Linked DNA regions of Caenorhabditis elegans. The protein of the gene in region 1 purifies or fractionates together with the protein of each later gene. This does not show direct contact. Each region holds a gene or a part of one and is shown on either strand. Other genes may lie near its edges.

Region 1 (8,114 bases):
CCACTAGATCCGAATTTTCCAGCGTCGTACTGCAAACTACATGTGTTTTCTGCAAATTTCTTCGATCTTTTGTTGTGCTTCTTTCACATTTGAATAAATATTTACACATCGAAACAGAGTTTTTAGTTCTAAAACACCAGTGTTCAGACAAAGTACAAACCGCTTTAAACTTGTGTTTTAAAGATCACTATAACTTTTCAAAATCTCTTCAGAAAATAGTAACCTTTTGTTGGACAGCATTGTTGATTTTGACACTCGTAACCATGTGGGCAATTCGAACATCCAACAGTCTGACCAGAAGTGGCTCCAGCTGGGTATGCTCCAGATGGACATACAGCTGAAAAACTATTATACACCTTTGTCATCCATTGTTCAACTAACCGTAAGCTAAATCGTCAGAAGCAGTCGCGTTCCGGCAAGCTGATTCACAAGCCTCTTTCGATTGGAATCGATTGGAGTTGCCGTCGCATCCCTAAAATTGTTTTATTCATTTTAATTGAACGTTTTTCCAAGAAGTATACTATTCTGTTAAATTCAACGAGAAATTTCCGTTTGTGAGAAGATAAGGTATATTCCTAGCATCAGCTCAAGCACAAGCTAAGAATATACCGTAAGTATGGCCCTTAGCCTGGGCATAAGCCTAACCTTAGCCTATGACAAAACCTAAGCCTAACTAGGGAACCATCAGAAGGTGCCCATCAGACTTGCATATGAAACCTATGCCATTCGATAGCCCATGTCTTAAAACGGTTACTCGTGAATTTTTAGCTGCGAATCTCCAGAACCAAGGTCACTGCGAGCTCTCAAAGATTCTAAAATAGCACTATAACGAAGCACTGTAACGATGAAAAGAAGCAATTTTCCAAATTCACTTTGGTAGCCTATATCTCCGTGGATATATTTTTTACAGAAAAGTCATCAACTAAAAATTTTTTTGATAAAAACTTGTAGTTGAAAGTTTTTATCAAAAAAATTGTTGTTTCAGATTTAACTAAAAACTTGTTCTTTACAACAATATCAACAACTTTTTAGTTGATGACTTTTCTGTAAAAAATTTATCGGCGGAGATATGAGCTACCAAAGTGAATTTGGAAAATTGACCTTTCAAAGCTTCGTTACAGTGCTATTTTAAGATCTTTGAGAGCTCGCCGTGAGCTTGGTTCTGGAGATTCGCAGCTAAAAATTCACGAGTAACCGTTTTAAGACATGGGTTATCGAATGGCATAGGTCTCATATGCAAGTCCGATGGGCACCTTCTGACGGTTCCCTAGTAAGCCTCCTCCGAGACTAAAAATTTTGGAGTGACCTTCTATTAAGGTCCTCTTTCAATTATAATAGGTTTCATTCGGAAGTCCGAGGACGAGCTGAAAGGCTTCCCTTGTCAGCCTAACTCTAAACCAAAGCTTAAGCCTAAACCTAAACCTAATATAGGTAGTATGCTAAAGGACTACTGGAAAAAACAGTACCTGATAGAAAAATGGCTGACATGTGCGGGTATTCTTGTGGAAATAAAATGAGCGGGCTCCCTGCTGACCACATCCAGAATTTCCAGTATCGCGAGCGGAAAAACAATCTGTCTGCTGTTGAGCAAAGCAAAATGTTATGAAAATGGTGGAAATCGTAATTGCAGTTAGCATTGTCTGAAAAAATACAATTTTTTTTACCCGTTAATGATCAATGAGAGTGGAATAATATTACTAGCCAATGCCAATTAAAAGCAGAAACCAAAAAGAAAACTTCAATTCTCGAATGATCTTTTCCTATTTTATACTCAAATTCCTAGCAATATTTACTTAAGAATCTTCGTCCCACCTACATAACTAAGATTTGGCAAATATCAAAAGTTTGGTCAACAGGAAAATGTTCAAAATTGAGTTGGTGGTTAACAAATAACCTACACATTCTCCCGAAAAAGAATTCATTAAAGATCAATGGGCACGATTGAAAACATGGCAAAGTTTTATTGAAAAATGAAAAACAGGCAAATATTTGGCTGAAATCGCTCAGTTTTCAGAAAATATCCACACTTTGACTGAAAATGGTGTAGGAATTGATGTAATAACAAGAGACAACAATCGATGTGGTTCCGTTTTTACAAATCGAATTGTTGATAACAAAGAAAATAAGGGAGCGTTTTGAAAATGAAGGAACTGGTTTTTCGATTGTACGAGATACAATAGTTCTTGACACAGACACCTACAATTTGTTGATAACGAAGGATAGACGCATCGGGTTGATGATTAAACAAATTTGAAGGAAGTACACGAAATTTCAAAAATTTAAAGGTGGAGTAGCGTCAATGGGGATTTTGTCTAAATACGCTTATTATGATTTCAAACGACCGAATATCATAATAAAACTACAAAAATTTTTAGATTTTCCCTAATTTCGGTCAAAGTTTTGGCACATTACCAAAATTTTGACAAATATGAGCTTTTGAGGACATCCAAAGCAATGTCGCATATTCCGGTCTTTACAATGATTCAACAAAAATAATTGAAACAAAATTACAGTATAAAAAATGTAGGAAAAATAATTTTTTTTGGTCGACTTCCAAAATTATGAGTGGCAAAAACTGAATATTGAACACTTTTTGACAGTGAATAAAAATTTTTCAAAAAAGTTTTGAAAAGTTTTATTATGATTATTTGTCACTTTGGCACCATAGGAGTATTTTTTAACACTTACTCCATTGGCCCTACTCCACCTTTAATAATTTTCAGATTTCCTAATTTTCTAGATTGCATGCTAATTTTTACAATTACTAGTTCAATGTTTCTTAATCTGATTTCGGTTTAATGCAACTATTATCATACGCCAGGAAATCGAATGTACCGTACGTATAATCAATGTAACTGATGTGATTTTTCATAATTTTTTCCTAAAATTGTTTTTCAAAATTTTTTCAAAAATTGCTATGGAAAAAACTATTTTCAAAAGACCGACCTGTGGACCGACTGTACCGTATTTCCTCTATTAGTCTTGCACTCCTACAGACTAATTGAAAATCAGTCTTACAGCCTGTAATAGTCTAGCACCCCACTTTTTGTCATATTAGCAGAACTTTGTGGAAACGTAAGCAAATTTATCATTTTTGGAGTAAATCAAATGTAAAATCGTTCAAATAATTGATGTAATATTGGGAAAGTATGTATTTTTCATTGTTTGAACGGTCAAAATTGTATCACTTTCCAAAGTTCGAAAAATAGTTTTCAGTCTCTATTAGTCTTGCACCCCTAAAGACCAATTGAAAATTAGTCTCGCATGCAAGACTAATAGCGAAAATACGGTAAATGCAGAGTTGTTGTCTTTCTTAATTTATTTTTATTTTTATTTATTTGAATATTAGTTGTTATATGGACGTCCTTTTCTTTCTCAATACATATGCATATACAAATATTAACTTTCCGTTCTTCTTTCCTATTCCCATACATTTATATGTATCCCAAAGCCTTCTCTCTCCCCCACACACACCATTTATCTGCACCATCCTCTTTTCACCCAATCTCTCATTTGTCGTAAACTCTCCTTCCAACTCTACGTCTCTTATTGTTCCCAACACTCTCTCACTTTTTCAACACTGACGACGGCTGTTTTACACTATCTGCTGGCCTGGATGGGGACTTTTGTGTTGCTCTACGGAAAGAATCCTCCCACACAATATTTTTACTGCTATTTGAACATTGAATTATCGATTTTTCAAATTTAAATTTAAGTGCTTAAAGAGGAAATGTTCCAAAACAGAGTTTCATAATGAGACTTCAAAATTTTTTTAACTTATCAATATCTAATTGTACTTTATTTTTTATTATGAATCAACAAATATTTACCCCTTAATAATTTTAAACTTTTCAGCAATAACCATGTCAACACTTGGTCGTAGTAAGACCCCATCTCGTGACGAACCAAAAAAGCCTGGAGTCTTTGAGAAACTCTCTGGTACCCTTTCTCGAAAGAAGAAGGCGCCGGAAGATGAGCATGGAAACCAAGGGGGTGCACATCATGCTACTGATGAAGATGAAGTTTTGGAGGTTAGTTTTGCAAATTAATGGTTTTAGCAAATATAGATTTTTCAGCTTGAACTTGAAGGTCGTGAGGCTCTCGATCAGTCATTGGTCCCAGTTCTTGCAAGAAACATCTGGTTGGAAGAAGGTAAACGGTTTCACCAATATATTTATCCAATATATTTTTTTCCAGGAGAAATTCGTCGTTATCTGACTAAGGAAACAGCCCGCGATCAGAAGTTGGCACAAGTTGTCGATTTGCTGATCTACTGGCTTAATGAAGAGCTAGCTGATCAAAGAATTGTCGTTCGTCACTTGCAAGAAGATCTTTTCGATGGTCAAATCATCCAGAAGCTGTTGGAAAAGTTGGAGCAGATTCGAGTAAGTTATTGGTACAATTTCACAAATTGAATAAATTCTCCACTCACAGTTTTGTTACAGATCGAGGTTCCAGAAGTTTCGCAGTCAGAAGAAGGACAACGTCAAAAACTGCAAATTGTAGTTCAAACAGCCAATCGAATTCTCGGACAGCCAAGAGAACAAGAGAAATGGTCTGCGGATCTTATTCATCAAAAGGTACGCAAATCTTTGTCTGAATTGTTCATTTCTATCAGTCTTACATTTCATTGTGCAGATGTTTGACGCACTGTAGACAAAAGAGTTTCTCACTCGAAGCTGTTCCAAAAACTACCGTATATTCTATATTAGTATGATATGTTAATCTGTGGACACCTCCGCCACACAATACTATTCATCATTTACTATATATAAAGCGCTTATTCTGTGTGTCCATAGTTTGTAGTCTATGTAGTCTTTGTAGTCTGTGAAGTTTTGGCTTCTTGGGATAGTGAGTTGGGGTTAGTGTAGGGATATAGTCGAAGTACTGTATTGGCACAATAGTGGTACGGTAGGAATACTGTAGTTTCAGAAAAAATCAGTTTTCACCCCCAGGTCCACGGCTGGTAATCTATATAGAAATTCGTGAACTGCAATACTAATTTTCGAGGTGGTTTTTGGATGCAAAACTTATTGAGAATATACGATAGTTGAACGCAACAGTACTTTTCGAATAAACAGAGTTACTTTCCATATTTTATATTTTCTCATAAAAGAATATTCCCAGGACTTCACTGCCATCATCCAGCTCCTGGTGCTTCTTGCTCTTCACTACCGTGCTCCAGTTCGATTCCCAGATAACGTGGTTGCTAACGTTGTGGTGGCTCAAAAGGAACATGGTCAAGTGAAGACCCATCGAATTACTGAGCAAATCACTACAGTTCAAACTGAGTTGGCACCGAAGGGCACTCGTGACGCATTTGATACGCTTTTCGATTATGGACCCGATAAGTTGGCTCATGTGAAGACATCTTTGTTGGCTTTTTGTAATAAGCATTTGAATAAAATTAATCTGGAAGTAAGTTTATTCACTTCATTGTGCTACAAAGAAGCTGATATTTGTAAATTTTTAGGTGTCTGATTTGGATAATCAATTCCAGGACGGAGTTTTCTTAGTTCTCCTAGTGGGACTTCTTGAAGGTTATTTCGTCCCGCTTTACCATTTTAATCTCCAAGTTCAAAGCCACGAGGAGAAAGTAAAAAATGTGCAATTTGCGTTCAAACTTATGGAAGACACTGGCCTTGAGAAGCCTAGATCTCGTGTTCAGGATATTGCCAATGGAGATGTTAAGGTTTGTAGTTTTGACAATTTACAGAAAAATATACCATTTTCCTAATTTAATTCAATTTACAATCCTCAATTTTAAATAGTGCAAAATTTTAAGGGATTGAAATCAAAGTGTAATCGCGCTTCAGCCGGAAATGAAAATGTCCCGCCTCCTTTAATTGGGTCTCGTTAGGTATCGCCATTTGGTTGAAGCGCGATTACATTCGCAGTTGTCGAATTTTCTTTTCACGACGATTCAGCAATCCCGAAGAATTTTAAACAAGTGGCAAAAACAAATTTTCTGCTCATATCTGATGCGATGGATTTTCTATATACAATCCTAATTCATTCTTTATTGCAGAGCACTCTCCGTCTTCTCCATTTGCTTTTCACTAAGTACAAACATATCTAATCTGAGAACTTCATTCGTCATCCTAATCAAACGACACCGTCCAATAATTTGTGTCTGGCTCAACAACTATGGTGCTTTAATTTTGTTAAAATTGCATTTATGTCAATAAATCTTTTAATTTTTAGACTTAGCACTATATTAAATTAAAGAAATTGGCAAATTCCGAAAAAAAAACTCTATTTGAACTCCCTCGTAAAGGAGATTTGCAATGGGGCGCGTTTGCATTAATAAAATTTAATGCATTTTCTCATCGATTCTTTTATTCTTGTTTCTTTATTTTAATTAATATGAATTGATTGTATATAAAATTGTATTTATTTTACAGAAAATGCCTCTTCCACCAGCTCTTCTCGCTCGACTTCAAAAAAGGGGAATTGTAAAGCAAGAAGAAGAGGTTATCGCTGAAAACTATGAAAAAGAGCCAGAAAAGAAAAGTTTCGAAGAGAATTCGGCAGGAGCACCTGGTTGTCCAAATAAATGGAATCAATATCACGTTTGCCTCGAATTTTGCTATGATCATTGGGGCGATGGAACTCCGGAATATCGGTTTGTTTTGAATTTTAGCGAAAAATTAATTAAAAATCGTTTTTTTTTGCAGGTTGCCCGAGAGATATGTGCAGAACAAAAACAGAATGCTTGCAAAGTTTCCACTTCCCGAAAATTGGGTTGAAGTCTATGATGAGGGACTTGCGAAGTATTATTTCTGGAATAAAACAACAGATGAGGTGAGAAGCAGAATAATTTTCTGATTTTAATTGGTTTTTTTCAGGTTTGTTGGTACTCGCCTCGTCATCCACGAGCTATTATCAGTGATCCAGCTCCTCGAATCGCCAGAGAGCATGCTACAGTGCTTTTTGGAGATTCTCACGCATCTGAGGTAGAATTTGAAGCTGAAATCGTACTTAATGGGTATCGCCGCCGGAAAAAAGTAGCTTGTACTTTTATTTTTGCTATTTTCAACAGTTTGCTCAAGAAATTCTAGAAAAAAACTTTCATGGACAAAACGCGGCGAGACTCATTTATAAGGATCCGAGCGCCTTTAAATACGAATTTCCGAACATTTATTCTTTAAAACTATGTACTTTTTCCAGGAGGACAATGCCGCCCGCCGCAGAAATTTCCACAACAAGAAAACTTCACGCGGAGGGAATGATGATAAGCAATCACGTGGCAATAATGCTGAAAAGCGGAAGCGACGTGATCCGATGACGTCACAGGGTCCAGATTCAGATGAAGACGAGTTACAGGAAATGACAAATAAGGATAGACTGAAAAGAGCAAAAAGGAAAGGAATTGATCCAATGGATCCAGCAGCTTATGGAGATGCTCCAGTGTAAGCTTTTTTTTCTAAAATTCTGTTTCTGAAGCGAAAAAATTAGAATTTTCAAGAAATTGGATTCAAAAATTCAAAAATTTCGAGAAACATAAATAAAATCTCAAATTTAAAATCTCCAACTTCTCCGTTTTTCAGCGGTCTAATTTTAGCTAAATTTATAGTTTTTCTTCAGAAAATTATAATTTTCCATTTGAAATTTGGGGAATACGGTAGCTTCAAAAGTACGCAACCCGAAAATACAACGTTTCCGGCGAAATGTCGATATGAAAAAATTATGAAAAATAATATTTGAGCGAAAAAATTTGATTTTTATATGATATTTCAGTGGAAAATGGTCGGATGGTCTTCGAGTTGATCAGGTGACTGGAGCCGACGTGACTGCTGGTGGACCACTTTTCCAACAAAGACCCTATCCTGCTCCGGGAGCAATTCTCAGAAAGCAGAAACCACAGGATGAAGAGGACGATCAATAATTCAATTTTATTGTTTTAATTTTTGATTATTTTAATTCAAAATTCCTACTCCACTTCCTTCCAAAAGTTCTGTCATTTCCTACTATTTATTTGTTCTGTTTTGTACCGTTGTACCTGTATCTTTTTCTTTTTCTATGCACATAAATGTGCTCAGACATCTGAATTTTTCTCTGTGCTTCTCCAAAACATTTCCATAAATTCATCAACTGTTTCTATGCATTAAATA
Region 2 (6,052 bases), on another chromosome or scaffold:
TCATGTAGACAATGCACGGAACGGATCCATCAATTGTCGTCGCTAAATCTTCTTTGAACTCGCTCGTGAAACTTTTCAAGGCATCTAAGAGCATCTGGTTTACACCTACTTTCTTCTGATGGCGAGCTCCAGAAGCAGTCTGAATAGCTAGTTCAATAATCGTATTCTCGGATACAGCTTCCTTTTGTGTCATTTCGAGAGTTGCATTGTTGGCGAGTCCGGTGAGTCGAAATGGAAGAGAAGAGTCAATGGGTTTACGAGATTGTGTTTGAAGACGATGACTGTTTACTTCAAAACCACTTTTCAGACAAGCTTCTTCGAGAACTTGCCTCATCAGCATCATTGGAGTGGTTTTTATTTGAACCCTTTTTGCATTTGGGCAGATTATGTTCAAGGAACTCATCTGCAAAATATTATGAACTGATAAGAGTAGAGTGGCATTACAAAAAAATAAACGGAAAAGTTGGAAATCAACCAGAATTAAATAAATACACCTCACCGAACATAAGCAATTTTATAAATTCACAACAAATAACAAAAAGGTTAACAATAAAAATAAAATGAAACATTGAAACTGTTGTATCATTGGTCCTCTGAAACAAGATTCAGCTCATTCGCATCATCGGATCCTTTTTCTTCCAACACATTTTCTTCAGTTTTTTCATCGTCACCACGTGTTTTGAACGAAGCATCTCTCATAGCCTTCTTGCCCATATCACTTCCAGTTACCTCACGAAGAGCTACAGTTGCATATGATCCAGATATCAAGCTAAACTGAATTTGCAATGCCAGAAGTGGACCTTTCTGTTCTGCTTCTGGGATAGCACGTGTTTGTAATCCATCTTGCAAGAGATCTCGTGCATTTCCATATCGAATAAACTTCCATTTGAGCTCCTTCGCTTCAACAAACAAGCATCTTGATGATTCGCCAAGTGAAAACCGACTTAAAATATATTACATTGATTGAACTTGGACCAGGAAACTTACTCTTTTAGTGCTGTGAAGCTCGATTGAGTGAGTCCATCTTCTTCAAGCAATTCAGAGATCCACTTAGCGCCATAACTACCCTCAAATGGCAAGTTTTCTCCCGGTAGTGGTATATGGATATCATAATGAGTTGCATGCTCGCCAAGAGAGAATCCATTGGCTCCAACGTCACTTTCATGTACTCGAGTACCATATTCCTTAACTCGACGAGAAGCTACTTTATTCCAAATGAGGCTTTGATAAGCGTGGACATAAAGACTGCGGCTTTGAATCGGAATTGCTTCAGTAATACAATTTTGCCATGTTCCTCCTTTCGAGAGACACTTCAAAATATTTCCTTCGACTGTAGCAAAAGCCTGAGCTCCTTTCAGCTTGGAAAATGCTTTTCTAGCATCCCCAGTTTGGGAAAAGCACTTAGCGGCGTAGCCAACTGACCCGTATCCCAGATGATCTAAAAAATATTAATTTTCTTTTTTTTTAATGTTTTAGCGCTAACCGGGCATAGCATTAGTCATGATCATTTTGACTGCTTTCTCCCAGTCTCTTTTCACAATAGCTAATCCGATTTCGGCTGTCGTAGAACTTCGTGAACCAAATCGTTGAGTACCTGAAGGTTATGAGGTCTATTGATACTCACCACCGATACTCACCGAAATAGTTGATGAATCCCGTATTTTGGAATGTTTCCAGTCTTTGATGGAGCAATTGTTCCGAATCGTCAGGCAAGCTTCTTAGTACAATGCTGAATCGATTTCCCCAGTGAGCTCCCATTTGAACTGGGTCATCTTTATACTCACATCCAAAGACTCGAATACCGCGGAGTTTCGAATTCAAATCCAGAATCGTTCGCTCATGCACTTTAGTAACACTAACTCTCTGTGAAGTCACAGCTCTCTTGTCTTTAATTCCGTGAGTTCTGATATTGTTCGGGCCCACACTGAAAATTACTTTTTAAAAAGTTTTTTTCTAAATTACAACTTACTTTAAAAACTTTGCAATAAGTTGGCAAGCAAAGCTAGTCTCTTTATTTTCTTTGCAAATGGTGAAGTGACATTCCTTTGGAACTTTTTCATCCCATAGTTTTCGCTTCCGACTGCTCTTCGTATGACCATGAGATACCAGAATTCCATCTTCCTTCGTTTCGGTGATTAAAACTCCAGCATACCGCTCTCTAATGAAATGATGAATGCTTTTTCGATCTTCCTTGCTCAAATCGTCAACTTTTACAAGAACGGGATCTCCTTTCGTAGAGAATCGGTCATTTAATGCAGCTAATGTCTCTTCTGAGATGCAATCTGGCTTAGCAACACACTCTTCGATCTCAATGTCTTCTTTTTTGGACCCAGTACTTTCTAGGACAACATCTGGCGATGGAATGGCCAAAACTGTGTGGTCGGCTGAAAATAAAATTAATTCTAGTAACATTAATTGAGTTTGATTAAATAACCTAAAATTTCTTGAACGATGAAGTCACTGTACATTTCTTTCAGTAGGCAGGGCACAGGAGTGATTGTATGCTCACTGGCATACTCGGTCAATCCAAATTCGGTTTCCATCTAAACTTTATTCAATAAATACATGAAAGAAATCAGACCAAACGATAAAACAAATTATGCGTAAAAACCATATTACAAGACCCCATTAGCAGAATAATCAATGAATTAACGTGTGAAATTTAGAAGCGCTGAGTCATAAAATTGCAATCGTCCTGGAACCCGAATTGTGAGTAGAATGGGAGAAGTTCAGGAACACACTCGAGAGAAATTTTGTAAACTCCGAGAGACTTTCCAAGAGAAACAAGAGTCTTCAAAAGAACGGCTCCTAATTTTTGACGACGCATTTCAGTATCCACGACAACATCTTCAACCCTTCCGCGACTTCCTGCCCCGTGAATGAACTTCATTTCGACAACCAAACTGGCAGATGCAACAACTTTTTGAGAATTGGAATCTTCGATGACGACTATATGATAATTGGGGACCGAGGTCCTCATCGCCTCAAATCGCTTTTCAAATGCTTCCTGATCAAGATTTCCGACCGAAGTCAACTGACTCAGAAGATCAACATATCCTTTCGAGAAATCGTCTTTTGCCAAGGGACGAACTTTAAAATTGTCAGGAAGATTCGAAGGAATGTGTGGAGCTAACACAGACGCATCAAAAATGTGAGACATATTTTCTCTGAAGAAAAGTGATGACAAATCGTTCGAACGAATGAGAAAAACTTAGGAGGAATCTAGCGCAGCTTGCTAAATATTTGAAAAAATGAAAATTAAAATAAGGAGAGAAATTATAACTCGAACGATGCGGAGATTTGTTCCAAATCGACGCAAAAAATAAATAAATCAACGTTTAAAATTGTTCCTAGAACTAGGCCACGGCCACGCGTTCTCTCGGCCATGTACTCCTCTCGGACAAACATTTTAGAAACATTTTACATTGAACGACCTGTGAAATCAAAAGAAAACGTTTTACTTCTTTTTTTCTTTATTTTTTTTTCAAAACTCCAACTGCCCAGTATCTGCCATTGGTTTTTCTATTTACTTTCTCATCGCGCACTTACACACTTGCAGCTGCACTCGTTTGGCGTATTCTCTCCTCAGAAAAAGAAACTCTGCGTCGGCTCCTCCCTCGTCCAAAAATGTTTCCATTACTCATTTCCGCTCTTTTCTTCTTGTTTCCGTTTTTGACTTTATTTTTCTGTGTCCATTGATTTTTCTATACAATTATTCATTTCAGAATGTTAGATAGACTTTGGGAAGTGCGCCAAGCACTGCCCCTTTATCTGTTAGTATCTACGCTTGGACTTGCCATTTCATGTTGTTTTACTCTCATATGTCCTCACGTTTGTCGATTGATACCTGCACTAACTACATATGGAAAAGCTGCTGATCAACAAGAAGATAACTCTTTGGTAGAAAAAATATCTGTACCTAAAAAGTGAGTACAGTTAGTCTTTGGGAGTTCTATCCTTGTCTGAAATTTTTCAGATGGTTTAAGCATTTTTACGCAATCGGTCTTCTAACACTTTTTATATGTCTACACACTGTCCACTCGTTAATCTACAATCCTAATTATCTGCATCCAGTGGTTCTCAAGATTCTTGCCACGCTAACACGATCCTACAGTATACCACCAAGTAAGTTTTTCTTTTAAAAAAAAAGTGATTTTCTTTTTTTTTTTTTGATTAGTGGTTTTTGGAATATATGCGAAGTCGCGACGCAGTTGTATTAATTTCATTGTTTTCAATTTTCAGTAGAACTTAAACTTTTTATTTTCAGTCAAAAAGTGTCTATTACTCAATTTTGTAAAACAACAAAAATATTGTATTCTACAAATGTTATATTTTAATAATGTTTCAAATATTTTATGTAATCACTGTAGGGCTTCAAACATGTGGTGTTGCTTTAAATTTTTCAAAAACTTCAAACGTTTCGTAAATTTAAAAATAGATAAATACCATTTGGCAAATTACCAAAACTTTGACTCAAATTTTCAGAAATTAGAAATTTGATTAGAATATCATATTATACACTTTTAAGTTGAAATAAATATGTTTTCAGTTACCCCAAGCACATCAATCTTGGCTCTCCTGCTCATAAGCCTTCACGTAGCACGACGTCTCTATGAAACAATATTTGTCAGTGTTTACTCGGACAGTCGTATGAACTTGTTTCACTATGCAGTTGGGATAGTCCACTACATCATTCTGCCAATTTCAATTATGTGTGAAACACAGGGAGTTGCTTCCAAATGTAAGAAGATACTTATCTGAAATGTTCTAGTAATTTATTTTCACAGTACCTCAGCTTCACGTGTCAATTGATGATATTTCTCTCACCCAATGGGCTGGAGCTGTCCTTTTTTGGATTTGCAATTGGAAACAACATCAGCTAGCCGAACAAATAGCAAATACAAGAAAAGGTCCTAGAGGACTAATTCGCAATTACGCCTATGGTATCTGCTTTGGTGGTTGGTTCAATCTCGTCTCATGTCCTCACTTTCTATTCGAGATATGCATCTACTTGTCACTTTTTCTTGTAATTCCTGATGCCTACGTGTATAGAGTAAGTTGTCAGTTTCATCCGTTTTTCTTCTAAAAAAATCCGTTTCAGTTCATAATCATGTTCGTGTGCATCAATCAAACGTTTGCTGCTCTCATCACTCACTCCTGGTACCACAAAACATTCCCAAAATATCCGAAAAGTCGGAAAGCTCTCATTCCTTACGTTCTATGATGCTCTTCTCCCGGTTTCTTTTTATTTTTTCGCTACTCGTGTCGCTAGATTCTTGTCATAAACCAAAATTTATAAAGCAATTATTTATAGTTTATTAATCCAAATGTGTGCAACATAACTGTACAAAACACATTACATGAACTGACGAGACGAAAAGCTTTTTCATTAAAATCAGGGACAAGGATGACCCGCATCGTGAGTTAAATTGATTGTGGATGAGAAGGTGGATTCATAATTAGATGATTGAAATGAAAAACTCGAACATGTGACAGAAACTGTACGAGTAAAAATTGTATGCGAATTTTGAACCCGCAATGAGAATGAGGAAGTAAGAAAAACAAAGGATGGTTTAATTATACTGGATATCGATGCTTCGGTGTCAGTGGTTGTGTGTCTGAAATCGGCACGTGTCCAGAAGAAGAAATTGTAGAAGGTGCTGTCGAAGTATCACTCCTGAAAAATATTCACGGAGAATGCGATGAAAATAGAAAATTGAAGCATACATTGTAGAAAGCAAACTGTCTGATTGATCATCTGAATTCTGCGAGTCGTGTCGAACATGATTAGTTGATGTCTTCAACAATTCCTCCGTACTTCTGAAATATTTTTTAAAAATAAAGTATTTGATTTGTGTTACATACTCTTCTCTCGTGTCCTTCCAATCCACGAGTCTTGGCATGGATCCAATTGTTTTTGACGCTGAAAGTCTTACTGTTGATGCTCCCCCCGATGCTATTTGGCCGACTTCGTTGAACTTGTGCAGCTGAAATTGAACCTATTTTAATAGACTCAATTGCATTTAAAGCGAACCTTGTTGCTTTTCTTATT
Region 3 (5,671 bases), on another chromosome or scaffold:
GACCTCTTGATGGGAGGACGCCCAGAACGAACTTCATATCCGCCTAAATACTTGTGTCGTCCTTCACTTGAAATGATCGAAGATAAGCTCAAAAAATGGTTCGGTCTGAGATTCTGTGAAGAAAATGAATCGTATCCAAGCGAGTTTAATAGTGTCACCGATTACGAACTTCCCGAGTATATCATGGCTGAAGTGCGCGAGGTAATTTTGAAACAATAGATATTGCTTATTTTTGTTCATAGCTTTCAGATAAGAGAGCAGAAAGAGAAAGAAACACAGACAACGGGATCGTCGAGTCGGAAAAGAAGAGTACCATCCCCAGAAGATTGACAGAAGAAGATGAAAATTATGACATTCAAACTTAAATGATCTCTCTATGATTCCTTCTACGCTATCTAATTATAATTCAATGTGTACCTTTCTTTCATATACCAATTGCAAAATATCATGTTATGTATTCCAATTTCTGTTTCGAATAACAATTATCATTTTTCATAGAAAAAATTTATTGGATAGTGTAAGACACAATTTGAGTCGATTAGTTAGAGGTTGTGGTGGAGACGAGTGGGCAATTAAAACTAGTACCGGCTTTCAGATTTGAAACAAATGCATATCATAAAATGATTGAAAAGTTATACTTTTGGAATGGCAATCTTCAAAGCTTGATCCAAATCAGCAACCAAATCATCGAGATCTTCAATTCCAACAGAGATACGGATAAGGTTATCAGTGATTCCAAGAACAATTCGAGTTTCAGCAGGCACTGAAGCATGAGTCATGATAGATGGAAGCTCGGCAAGTGATTCATATCCTCCAAGAGATTCAGCCAAAGTGAATACTTTGAGAGCAGAAAGGAAAGCACGACTCTCTTGAAGTTCTCCTTTAAGATAGAATGAGATCATTCCAGACATTCCCTTTGTTTGTTTCTCATGAACTTCATGTTGTGGATGAGATGGAAGAGCTGGATAGAGAACTGATTCGATACGATCATTGGCTTCAAGGTATTTGGCAACAGCAAGAGCATTTTCATAGTGAGCTCTCATTCTGATGTGAAGAGTTTTGAGTCCACGATTAACAAGGAAGCAATCAAATGGAGATGGGACTGCTCCGACGGCTGAAAATAATAGCATTAAAATTTTGAGTTAACGATTAATTTAGCTATCCAATGAGATTTTAAACAGTTTTATAATTTTGCGACATTTGACTCAAGGTACATGTTCTCGATATGAGCGAAACTTTGCTTCTACAGTACCCACAAGTATTTAGCAATTTTTTTTATAGTTCCAATGTATTTTATATGATTTCTAAAGCAGAGAAACTGATTTCTTTTCTAGAAAAACACGAAGAAATTAATATTGAAATTCAGTGAAAACCGTTAAGAAAAAATTCGAAGCACTTGCGAATACAGTAGCTGCCAAGTTTCACTAGCTTCAAGACCGGTTACCGTATCTATGCCTCAAAATGACAAAATTATACGACTAGATTTCACTGCGTACAACAGCACAGTAAACTAACCAAGTTGCATGAAGAAAAGATGTTGTTGGAACTCGTCATTATCAGTGATAACAGCACCCATAACAACATCAGAATGTCCATTAATATACTTGGTAATTGAATGAACGACAACATCCGCTCCAAGAGAAATTGGGCGTTGGAAGTATGGAGACATGAAGGTATTATCAACAACTACAACAATTTCTGGATTGGCTTTCTTTGCAGTTTGGACCACTGCGGCAATATCAACAACCTTCAAAAGTGGGTTAGATGGAGATTCAAACCAAACCATCTTGGTATTTGGTTTGATTGCTTTCTCGAGATTCTGAACATCCGTCAAATCAACCGAATCGACTTCCAATCCGTGATTAGGAACAGCAACACGGCGGATATATCTTTGAGTACCTCCGTAGACATCATCAGAGCACACAATATGATCTCCGTACTTGAGAAGATTGATGATTGCGGAAGTTGCGGCAAGTCCTGAAGAGAACACTTGGCAGTGTTTTGCGTCTTCGAGAGCAGCCAGATTCTTTTGAAGAACATCACGAGTTGGGTTTCCAGCACGAGAATAATCGTGTCCCTTTGGCTCTCCTGGATTATCCTGTTTGTAGGTCGAGGACAAGCTGATTGGCGGGACCACCTGAAAAGTATCAGTTCAGTATTTATATTCAGAATACCTATGACAAACCTGATTCATATCCCATTGCTCTGGTTCTTGTCCAACGTGGATAGCAGCAGTTCCGAAGTGTGGGAAAGTAGCCATTTTAATCTTGAGACAGGCTGCAATAAGAAGACTGATGTCGAGAAATGATAATCAAATGGATTTATAAGTGTGAGAGAAAGAGGAGAGAAAAGAAAAAAGAACGAATGAAAGGGGCGGGGTCAAACGAAGGGTCGGTCGACACGCCGAAAGTTTCAATGAAATCGTTAAAGAAAAAAACGTTCTTGACATTGGTCAAAAAGACGTTAATCTTCTATTATTTTTAGATTTTACAGAATGTAGCTGATTAGGCAAACAAGATGTTAAAAACGGAAGAAAAGAAGAAAAATAAATAGTGATGTGCAAAGAAGGAATGAACAATGTTTGATACTATTGAATGATGTACACATCTGGAATAAACACTCTTATCAAATCTCCAAACGAGACCATTTTGCAGAAAAAACCGGATATGAGAAGAAGCGTGGGAAATTGAGAAATTTGAAAAATAAAAGATAAGATTAACGACTGATAGGTGGCGTATTTTTCATACTTCAAAAAATAATATGTATTTGGCACAAGTTTGGTAATAAATTTGACATTTCTGGGGATTCTGTGGTGTTTTTATATGTTGGTTAAAAACAATTTTTATTGCTCAAATATGGTTTTTTCGTGAACAGCTGAATATTTGTAAATTCTATAGTATTTTTTGAAAAGTTCGGAATTTGAATTGTATAATGTCAAGTCACATTCTACGAACCAGAATCTTAATTTTTAACATGAATTGGCCTAATACTAGTAATAGAAACATTTTAATAGAAACAGAGGTTTCTACAAAAATACATTAATCCTACAGTACCCCGACCCTATCCCTCCCTACTAATATTTGTTTTTATAGTAAAAACTTAAAAATCGTGGAAAATGTTATTTTGATCGACTTCCAAAAGGATAGAAGAGAACTAACTTAAGTAATTACAACGTTGTATAAATAATAGAAATTTCCGAAAACATTTAAGGATGTATAAAAATTTCTATATTTTAGCACCATAAGATGAGTTTTTTTGAAAATCTCCACTGGCTCTGCATACAAACTACAGTAGGCCAACAGTATCATGACAATGTATCAGCTCAAGTTCACAAAGAGTTCTTGCTGCAATTATTTTTTTTTACAAACTATGAAAGTCAGTAATCATAAATGTATTTACTAATGACGATCTTGAAACAAAAGATAACACAGTTTGACGTGACTTACTATTAGAGTTTCCAAAGTCTTGAAGGAATTTTAAATTAACTGAAATCACGTAATTGTGCAGTTTGAACACTATCTTAATGTTTATTTTGTTCCTTCGTTTAGTTGATATAATATTTATCACATGTTACAGTTTTTTTTTTCAAAAAGTTCAAATTCCAGTGCCAATCACCCCACGTGGAGGTCTACCATGTGGTATTTTGTTTGAGAAACATGTCGATGAAATCAAATCCTCAAAGCATCGATTTCTCTATGTCTCGTATCATTTTTTCGTTATCAAAAAGAGAGAAGAATTTGTCTCATTCTCTCGTTGTGTCTACTGCAAACCAGCCACATGTGTGTCTCGAGCAGTTGGACAAAGGGCACCAGAAGGAGAGAGTTCAAGTTCAAAATATCATTTGGAAGAGGCAGATAGGGATTGAATACATAGAAATGATGATAATTGTGACGTGTTTTTTAATTGGCAACCTTGGCGTGGAAAAGATAAGATTTGAGACGACATTTCATTTGCAGGAAGTCTTGAATTTGGAGGAGGAGGAAAAAGAAAGCGAAAGTTTCAATTTATTGATCAATTGCATTTTCTTCTAGATTTAGAAATAGGTAGAGTTGCTACCAGTAGGTTTACATTTTATTGCTTGTGATCAGAAAGCAGGTTTTACCAATTTGCTACTTGAATGAAAAATTAATTTTTTAAATGTATAAGTACCCATAATTTTAGATTAACTAGATTAACTAACTAGATTAATAATTTTCACCAAAGGTGTAAAAATGTGGAGTTGTTGCCGAATTTGCCAAAACATTCACTGAAGGATCTAATAAACCTCAAATAAATAATTATTTTGAAAGCTATTTTCAATTCTATCAGAACATTCTGAAGGTGACCTCGTATTCTTAAACCAACCGGAACTTGGCTGAAAATCGAAAATTTAAAATGTTTCATGTCTATACTGTCGTAAAAATTAAGCCCACCTTTTAATTTTAATAATAATAAGCAATTTATGTATTCTGGATACTAGAAAAAGTAGACAAAAAATGATTTTTTAAAGGTCTGTGAACATACTTACTTATATCATATTAAGAAGTAGAACAGCAAAAGATTATTGAAGTTTGATTCTCCGTTTTTTTCATTAAGTATGTCAACAATTGATAAGAGTTCAGTGACACATACGTCACTATCTCAAAAACATTTGTCAGCAGAAATTCAAATTTAATTTCAATTTCAAGATAACAAACCAACCTCGCCATGTGCTACTCACTTGATAAAATTATAAAATTTTTACGATTTGAAAATTAAATAGACATAGAGAGGAAAAAGGTCAGAATGGCATGTCTAGTGAATGCTCCTGCGCAAATTTATATGGACGCTGCTTTGCGTCCGCTCACCTCCCGCCCCTCAATCTGAGCGGCACGCGGCAGACAGTTGCATCAGCCGTTTGGAAGGAATGGAGAATGTTGATAGATGTGAAGAGTTAGAGATCATAATGATTGAGAGATGAAGAGAAATGATATACTTTACAAAAAACTACTGGTCGGATGGATGGGGACTTTTGAAAGTTGAAGAGCTCTTTGAAAAATAGAAAACTGAAAAAGAAAATTGATATTTGACAATTTCAAGTTCAGAATGCAGAGGACATTTAAAATTCCTAGAATTTTTGAAAATATCAGTGTAATTTTCTATTTTCAGCTGAAAGTTAAACTCAAAGTTAAAAAAAAGTGCAAATTTTTTATGCTTGTTAGTTGAAAAGCAAATAGACATATTGTCTAGCAACTGAACTTCATAATTCGTCCTTTTATATACGTTTCCTTCCAACTTTTCTGATTTGTCATTGTCATCATTTGACCTCCTCGTGTCGATTTGTGTTTTGTCATCATTATAGGAAAAACATATGTTTTTTTGTAGTAATGAAATGACTACGATGTGTTCTTTAGAAAAAATATTACGAGTTTTAGAAATTATTTCATCAGCAATTGAGGATTTGATTAGGAATTTTGATGTTTATGGTTAATTTGGCAATTAGTACATGGAATTAAAATAAACTTGATCATATACAGAAAACGAAACGAATTGGTGGAAAATGAAGAGTAGAAAGAGAAAGAAGAAACTAGAGATGGAAATGGGAGAAGCGGATGGAAAATCGATGCGGAACAGAGAAGCGGAAAGCGGAAAAAGTGTGAAGAGGAGAAAAGAGCACAGAGAAATTTGAGCATTCAGCATTGGGATTGAAACT

What was found.
Region 2: the proteins of pat-6 (region 1) and B0024.11 fractionate together in Caenorhabditis elegans (co-fractionation; one large-scale study listed by BioGRID). This does not show direct contact.
Region 3: the proteins of pat-6 (region 1) and cth-2 fractionate together in Caenorhabditis elegans (co-fractionation; one large-scale study listed by BioGRID). This does not show direct contact.

The regions. Positions count from the first base shown.
Region 1 is NC_003282.8:259,974-268,087, reverse strand, and holds pat-6 (Paralyzed arrest at two-fold protein 6), read left to right. Parts: upstream 1-3,855; 5' UTR 3,856-3,863; coding exon 3,864-4,031; intron 4,032-4,076; coding exon 4,077-4,152; intron 4,153-4,197; coding exon 4,198-4,385; intron 4,386-4,445; coding exon 4,446-4,580; intron 4,581-5,127; coding exon 5,128-5,418; intron 5,419-5,473; coding exon 5,474-5,692; intron 5,693-6,028; coding exon 6,029-6,079; 3' UTR 6,080-6,202; downstream 6,203-8,114. Other genes in the region: T21D12.12 (BPTI/Kunitz inhibitor domain-containing protein), read right to left, coding at 1-49, 224-337, 382-472, 1,467-1,637; pqbp-1.1 (WW domain-containing protein), read left to right, coding at 6,408-6,625, 6,678-6,804, 6,849-6,956, 7,171-7,412, 7,741-7,888. UniProt on the Caenorhabditis elegans protein: Involved in the regulation of cell adhesion and cytoskeleton organization. Component of an integrin containing attachment complex, which is required for muscle development and maintenance.
Region 2 is NC_003283.11:10,316,992-10,323,043, forward strand, and holds B0024.11 (Putative pseudouridine synthase B0024.11), read right to left. Parts: upstream 2,544-6,052; coding exon 2,435-2,543; intron 2,385-2,434; coding exon 1,970-2,384; intron 1,925-1,969; coding exon 1,638-1,924; intron 1,595-1,637; coding exon 1,484-1,594; intron 1,439-1,483; coding exon 988-1,438; intron 944-987; coding exon 583-943; 3' UTR 501-582; downstream 1-500. Other genes in the region: asps-1 (TUG ubiquitin-like domain-containing protein), read right to left, coding at 1-403; gna-1 (Glucosamine 6-phosphate N-acetyltransferase), read right to left, coding at 2,663-3,160; srdf-3 (Polyprenal reductase), read left to right, coding at 3,727-3,926, 3,977-4,125, 4,550-4,741, 4,788-5,053, 5,102-5,224; crim-1 (Cysteine-rich motor neuron 1 protein-like), read right to left, coding at 5,578-5,677, 5,728-5,820, 5,866-5,987, 6,035-6,052.
Region 3 is NC_003280.10:7,055,684-7,061,354, forward strand, and holds cth-2 (Putative cystathionine gamma-lyase 2), read right to left. Parts: upstream 2,278-5,671; 5' UTR 2,261-2,277; coding exon 2,186-2,260; intron 2,138-2,185; coding exon 1,516-2,137; intron 1,115-1,515; coding exon 633-1,114; 3' UTR 501-632; downstream 1-500. Other genes in the region: ZK1127.3 (EAF7 family protein), read left to right, coding at 1-201, 243-365.